2 linked regions of the Drosophila melanogaster genome follow. The protein of the gene in region 2 interacts with the protein of the main gene of each other region in a pairwise test. Each region holds a gene or a part of one and is shown on either strand. Other genes may lie near its edges. The genes, in order: Zfrp8 and RpS2.

Region 1 (3,832 bases), on a different chromosome or scaffold from region 2:
AACGAGCCCATGGCCACCGCTCTGAAGCACAGCACCCACTTCTCCACATGGGTGCTGTACAACTGTTTCCGTGCGATGCTGATCTTCCTGATGTCCGGCTTTGAGCTGGAACTATATGCTGTGCATGAGTTCCTCTACATCTACTGGTATCCATACGAGTTCCTCATTGGCTTCCTGGTCTCCGCGCTGACGCGCACGGAGAACATCCTCCTGGCCCAGGAGGAGTACGCCGAGCACCAAAGTAAGACCCAGTCGGGCGGCAGCGGAGCGGCTAAAAACCGCAAGGCGGCCAAGCCGAAAAAGAACAAAAAGACTCAAAGGCCGTACCGCGCCGAGATCGTCTTCTACCACGCGCTACTCAGCCTCTGCGGCGGAATGTATAAAGCAATGGGCGCCCTGACCAAAGACGGACGCGTGCGACTGCCGCTGTCCAAGTTCGACAACGAGGAGATCCGCTACAACCGACGCTTCCTGCCCTTCGCCACACTCACCAGTCCTCCGCCAGTTTCGTACGCAGAGTTCAAAAACGTCCGGGAGCACATGATGCGACATAGCGTCGAGGATCTATATACCTATGCGGCCAAGCACTTTGACCAGGCCCGCAATGTTCTCGAAAGCATTCAAAACCCAGATCAGGAGGTAAGTCAATGGTAGTTCTGAATTGGTTTTCCTGGATTAAAATGCGTTTCGTTTAATTTCAGATGCTGGACCTCCTGCAAATCGCACGGACTAACTTTGTGGTGATGAATGTGCTGGCTCGCGGTCACCAGAAGGAAGTCAAGCGGCAGCCAGAGTTCGACTTCTCCAAACACAGCTACTTCCCCATCATCAAGCTGAAGTAAATGTTCACGTGTTTCGTAATTGACAAGAATAAAATTTAAATGTACGCATTTTAATGTCAACTCTGATCCTCCGCCACAATGTCCTGCTTGATGAGAAGCTCCTCCACGTAGCCGTCGATGGGGCAGCTTTTGGCGCAAGTGTAGACGGCCAGGACGCCCCAGTCGAGGTTTTCGTCCTCCAGAAGAGTCAGCGCTTGCGGCATAATCTGAAATTCGAACTGACGCTCTCCTCCGCAAGCAATGCAATTGGGCAGCTTGTTAAGTTGGTCCTCCACCGTTTTGACGGTATTCGTGATCCAGAGGGGCTGGCCTCCACGTTTGTAGCGCACGATCTGATCGGGTTCGGCTGCTGTTTGCTTTTTGAACTGACGAAAGGTCTTGTCATCGGCGGCCGCCGAGTTTCCGAAGTACTTGTCCATCTCCGCCTCGGAAACATTGCTCAAGTCGCCCGTCTTCCCGCTGGACTCCAGCTCCTGGAACTCCGCCAAGCGAGCCTCATCGTCCTTGTCCTCCTCGCCAGACTCCACGGGGTTGCTGTCCATTACAATCTCAAATTCTGGGAAAACGATTTGTGTTAAGGGCTTCTCAGTGGCTACTTCTGGTGCTCCGCAGTTTGGCTTGTGTTGTGGCCAGTGGGCCCTTTGATGCTCTGGTGAGCAGTAGTGGATTGCCTTGCATTTGCTGCAGGCGTGAGGAGCATGGCAACCGCAGGCGGCGCATAGTTTCTTTAGGCAGGGAACGGCGGGCTAAGAAAACATATTATGATGAGTATGTTCTGAAAATATGGCTGCTGTTCCTACCAGGGGTTGACCCACGTCGCTCGGCTCCTCCTCCGAAAAGAACTTATTTTTTCGCGGCAACTGTGACCTGAGGACTGTGAAATTGCTGGAAAGATGGGTAAGATTAGGTTGCAAGTTGGTTTTCAGAGCTAGAAGGGATTACCTTGCATTTTGGGCCTCCTGGCAGTCGGAATTCCGGCACAGGAACACATAGATGGACCGATGAAAGTTGTACTCGTCTTCGAAGGGAGCGTATAGCTGAGCCAGGAAGGATTTGGGTGCCCTGCACTTGCTGCACTGCAGCTGCGACGTGGGCGGCAAGGCCTCCAGTTCCAGCCATGCGGGCTGGCCTCCCAGCTTGCTGGGAAAGTAGCGGTTGCTCAGCCAGGCGCCATTGTCGCTCTTTTCCGCAAATCCCAAGTCAATCTCCATTTCTTTCAATCTCCGAAACGAAACTCGTGTTCAGTGTGACCGCAGCGGGAGCGCCAGAAAATACCTCTACAAATTCCGAAATAACGTTGTATAATAACTGATATTTTCGGGGAATCACACTTTTTGGGTGTTATAATTTAAAATTTAAATTAATTACATTCGTTTAATTTGTTGATTTCGGCAGTTCAATAAAATAAAATATTCTTTTCTTCATTGAATATTTGCGATTACTCTTATAAACATAAGGGGGAAACATAAGATTTTAATTTAATGACATTAATCTGGAAGAATAACAAATCTCATTATCCTGAGCCCTTAAAAATGGCAAGCGGTTCAAAATTATAGAGCGAGGATTAATCAGATAAGGCCCCTCTTCTACGCCACTGATAATAAAGCTTGCATGCCATGGATTTGGTATTTTCCGCGAGTTCCTCCATGGCGATTTCCCAGATTTTGGCCACTTCAGTATGCGGTTATTTCTCACGGTTAAAAGTTCTGCTCTCCGAGTTGATTAAACTGGCTAAAGTGATATTTTATTTACTGTTGTGATAAACGCGTGTGAAAAACAAAGACTTTCCATTGCCCGCGGACACAAACGATCACGAACCGAAGAGTGAACCGCTCAGAAACGGGGGGAAAACCAGTTTTCCCACGATTTGATGTGATTGTGAAAGCGCAACGAGATTTGTCAACGCAAACAAGCAAGAAGAAGAGCCCGTGGATAGCGTAATATTTGTTAATAATAACGGCTGCAAAAACAACAACATTGCGGAAGCAGAATCTCCGACTTGTCGCGTTTCCGTCGCAGCAGCGCTAAAAATAAACCCACCCACGCACCGCCCCCTCTCGAATCGCCAACCACCCACTCCCGCCCACCATCCACCTACCACCACCTTCCGCCCACACCCACGCACGAATTTGGAGAGGTGAACTTGTGTTGACTTTTCCAGCGCGCGGACTTTTCCGAAGAAAAATGCAAAAATGAGAGCCGAGCCACCAGCGGACCACTGGGAATTTGCGTAAGTCCAAGGCGGATGCTTCCTGGTTTCGAATTACAGGGTATCACGTGCGCTGCTGCGAGCTAGTGAACAAGAAGGCACCAGATGTTTGATGGAGTGCACATAGAGAAAAGTTTGTGTAGGAACTATTAGGTGTCCGGTACAGGGTATCTCCGCTTCGATGCCCCTGGCAGTGGCTCGCTTTCTGGCTGCCAAAGAACGAGCCGGGTGAGCTTTTATTTGCTAAATTTAGTGCCGCATTGCTGAAAATAAGAATGGGAGCACCCTGCCATCGGTTGCCGGTAGGCAGACTCATATATATGTATATGTATATGCATAATCGCCCCTGACGGCCAGTGTGTGGTTCGGTGGATCTTTGTCCAGGGCACATGGCCCGAAACTGTTGCATGGCCCATCCTCGTCCTGGCCAATCGATGCCTTCGATGCCGACTTCGACTTGGAGTGCTGCCTGAATCAATAAACGCCTCAAATCCCTGCCATATTGCGTCCATTGTAATGTCAGCACATAAATTCTCTGCCCATCGAGGGGCATTTTCACTCGGCTGCAGGCATTCGGTAGTGGTATGTACGCTATGTGTCCTGGCCAGGCAATAAATATTGAAAATTCAATTAGCAGACGGACGGGCAGCCGAAATGCTATGAATTTATCACCACCTGAGTGCGAATGTGCCTGTGGTACTCATAGTAAATAAGTAACTTCATTGCCATTCGGCCCACTCCACTTGCTCCACCTGCATGCTGGCTATTGATTTTAATCCGC
Region 2 (3,937 bases):
TAGAGAGCCAACTACAAAGAGGGTAACAACTGAAAGGACAACTCGGGAGCCAACCACTCGTAAGACAACAACCCATAAGACAACAGAAGAACCAACCACCAAGAAGACAACAACTAAGAAGACGACTCATGAACCCACAACTAAGAAATCAACTACTTTAAAGCCTACCGAAGAACCAACTACTCGCAAAACGTCAACCACAAAGACTACTAGAGAGCCAACTACAAAGAGGGTAACAACTGAAAGGACAACTCGGGAGCCAACCACTCGTAAGACAACAACCCATAAGACAACAGAAGAACCAACCACCAAGAAGACAACAACTAAGAAGACGACTCATGAACCCACAACTAAGAAATCAACTACTTTAAAGCCTACCGAAGAACCAACTACTCGCAAAACGTTAACCACAAAGACTACTAGAGAGCCAACAACCAAGAGGGTAACAACTGAAAGGACAACTCGGGAGCCAACCACTCGTAAGACAACAACCCATAAGACAACAGAAGAACCAACCACCAAGAAGACAACAACTAAGAAGACGACTCATGAACCCACAACTAAGAAATCAACTACTTTAAAGCCTACCGAAGAACCAACTACTCGCAAAACGTCAACCACAAAGACTACTAGAGAGCCAACTACAAAGAGGGTAACAACTGAAAGGACAACTCGGGAGCCAACCACTCGCAAGACAACAACCCATAAGACAACAGAAGAACCAACCACCAAGAAGACAACAACTAAGAAGACGACTCATGAACCCACAACTAAGAAATCAACTACTTTAAAGCCTACCGAAGAACCAACTACTCGCAAAACGTCAACCACAAAGACTACTAGAGAGCCAACTACCAAGAGGGTAACAACTGAAAGGACAACTCGGGAGCCAACCACTCGTAAGACAACAACCCATAAGACAACAGAAGAACCAACCACCAAGAAGACAACAACTAAGAAGACGACTCATGAACCCACAACTAAGAAATCAACTACTTTAAAGCCTACCGAAGAACCAACTACTCGCAAAACGTCAACCACAAAGGCTACTAGAGAGCCAACTACAAAGAGGGTAACAACTGAAAGGACAACTCGGGAGCCAACCACTCGTAAGACAACAGCCCATAAGACAACAGAAGAACCAACCACCAAGAAGACAACAACTAAGAAGACGACTCATGAACCCACAACTAAGAAATCAACTACTTTAAAGCCTACCGAAGAACCAACTACTCGCAAGACATCTACCACAAAGACAACCAGAGAGCCAACCACTCGGGAGACAAGCACATCGGTTAAGACAACAGCAGATCAAACAACAAAAAGGACGACAGCTGAAATGAGTACAACAAATCAGGAACCAACATCCGTAGAAACTACTACCAATTCATCGAATCAGAGCAATACGACCACGGAATCAACCACCACCGAAGAGCAACATGTTCACCACCATCATCACCATATTCATTATCACAAACCCGCTGATCTCGGTCCATCAATTCTTCCACTTCCTGATCTTCCTCCTCTCCCGTTGCCCCTGCCCTGGCCCCCACTGCCACTTCCTGAAATCCCTCTACCTTTGCCTCCTTTACCAACAGCGTTGCCTCCGCTGCCCCCCCTACCACCTTTGCCACCTTTGCCGGAAGTAAATTTAACAGCAATATCCTTACCAGAAATTTCCCTTCCAAATTTGCCACCACTACCACAATTGCCGAATCCTTTCCCAAACTTCTTTTGGGGTCGTTAAACACTAAAACCATTAAAATTGTATGAACTTACATATTATAAATGTGCCATTAAATATATATTTATATAATATACAATTATAAATAATTTATAAATTTAATTATTATATTTTTCAACTTATCTTTAAGAAGAGCAAAATGGATCTTCGTCTTCAAAAACAAGACCAAAAATTGGGCTTAAAAAGAAAATCGCTTTAATGTAAAAAGCCCTGAACACATATATCTAATTCATTTCGTCAAACTCTTAAAACTATTAAAAAAAAAAACATGTTTAAATTCTGAAATTTTTACACAGTATTTTGTAAGTAACTTGACATAATTTGAAATTCATCATTTAAATATTTGTATATATATCGATTTCCCATACGATATTATGCTTATCGATGGTATCGGCACTATCGTAAGTGATTGCCCCAGCTCTAAGCGGATGGCTCGGCCATTTCGTTTTTGTCTTCACCCCAATAAAGTTGATAGACCTACAAGTAAGCATTTTCGGTTGGATTATGTGGGAAATAAATGGTGTTTAATTTAATCAGCATGCGCCATACCACAGTCAGAGTTTTGATATATGCTAAAAGCTAGCTAAAAGTGTAAAAATCCAAGTGATGGGTTGTATCTTTCGTAAAAATCAATTGTCCCTTTGGGGGACACCACGTGTTCCAAAATGGCGACTATATGTAGTAGGGTTAACACCTTTACTTTATTTTGCGGTAGTCACTATGAGACTTGCGGCTAAAGATTAGGTATCTGGCTTGGGAGCAGAAAATCTTAGGATTTACAATAAAAAACGTGAACCTAACCTATTTTTTTAACTCTCTTTCAGAATGGCGGACGAAGCTCCAGCCCGTAGTGGATTCCGTGGCGGATTTGGCTCTCGTGGTGGTCGTGGTGGACGCGGTCGTGGCCGTGGACGCTGGGCCCGTGGACGTGGAAAGGAGGACTCCAAGGAGTGGGTGCCAGTGACCAAGCTGGGACGCCTGGTGCGCGAGGGCAAGATCAAGTCTTTGGAGGAGATCTACCTGTACTCGCTTCCCATCAAAGAGTTCGAGATCATCGACTTCTTCCTGGGATCCTCGCTGAAGGATGAGGTGCTGAAGATCATGCCCGTCCAGAAGCAGACCCGTGCTGGTCAGCGTACCCGTTTCAAGGCCTTCGTTGCCATCGGCGACAACAATGGCCACATTGGTCTGGGCGTTAAGTGCAGCAAGGAAGTGGCCACCGCCATCCGTGGTGCCATCATTCTGGCCAAGCTCTCCGTGGTGCCCGTGCGCCGTGGCTACTGGGGCAACAAGATCGGCAAGCCCCACACCGTGCCCTGCAAGGTCACCGGCAAGTGCGGTTCCGTCTCCGTGCGCCTCATCCCCGCTCCCCGTGGTACTGGCATTGTCTCGGCCCCCGTGCCCAAGAAGCTGCTGACCATGGCCGGTATTGAGGATTGCTACACCTCGGCCCGTGGCTCCACTGGAACCCTCGGCAACTTCGCCAAGGCTACATATGCCGCCATCGCCAAGACGTACGCGTACTTGACCCCCGATCTGTGGAAGGAGATGCCTCTGGGCTCCACTCCTTACCAGGCATACTCGGACTTCCTGTCCAAGCCCACTCCTCGTCTGCACGCCGATGCCTAAGTGAACACTTTCGAGGCCAATCAATCCAGAGTTTTTGAATAAAGTCATAAACTTTTAAATGTAATCGCTTCGTGTTTGTTATTGTTGTGGACATTGGTCGATTTGGAGATTCTGTTGTAGTTAAACTATTTGTAACTTAATAGAACTTATGTCTCCTTTGTTGATCCAGACAATGCAGTAAAAGCATTCTACTAAAAAACAACAGGAAATACGAAACGCATTGCTTGCTGCTTACATGTAAGAATATATTTAAAAATGTACACTTAGGATAAGAAGTAAAAAAGGTCTACGCCTTGACTCCATACGCTTCTGGCATACGCTCAATCGCGTACTTATGCGCAGCCACGTACATGATGGGCACGCCGGGAATCTTCCGGATGCGATTCTTAAGGTCCTTGTCGTTGGTGGCCACAATGTAGCATTTGTGCTGGCGCACCCGCTCCACGAGGCAATCGTCCGCATAGGTGCCCTTGTGCAGGCACGGCAGTCGCTCGAATCTGGGATCGGAGATGATGCGCAGGGCCAGCTTGTACTTGTTGCCCAGCTTCTCCAGCTCGGCACGCA

The links.
Region 1: the proteins of RpS2 (region 2) and Zfrp8 interact in a two-hybrid assay, tested with the Drosophila melanogaster proteins (2 studies listed by BioGRID).

Annotation. Positions count from the first base shown.
Region 1 is NT_033778.4:24,132,237-24,136,068, reverse strand, and holds Zfrp8 (zinc finger protein RP-8), read right to left. Parts: upstream 2,081-3,832; 5' UTR 2,054-2,080; coding exon 1,785-2,053; intron 1,728-1,784; coding exon 1,643-1,727; intron 1,589-1,642; coding exon 899-1,588; 3' UTR 843-898; coding exon of another isoform or gene 702-842; 3' UTR 664-701; downstream 1-663. Other genes in the region: Naa35 (N(alpha)-acetyltransferase 35), read left to right, coding at 1-639, 702-842.
Region 2 is NT_033779.5:9,895,763-9,899,699, reverse strand, and holds RpS2 (ribosomal protein S2), read left to right. Parts: upstream 1-2,147; 5' UTR 2,148-2,227; exon of another isoform or gene 2,228-2,488; intron 2,489-2,568; 5' UTR 2,569-2,569; coding exon 2,570-3,373; 3' UTR 3,374-3,435; downstream 3,436-3,937. Other genes in the region: Muc30E (mucin 30E), read left to right, coding at 1-1,747; Bka (bekka), read right to left, coding at 3,660-3,937. UniProt on the Drosophila melanogaster protein: Component of the ribosome, a large ribonucleoprotein complex responsible for the synthesis of proteins in the cell.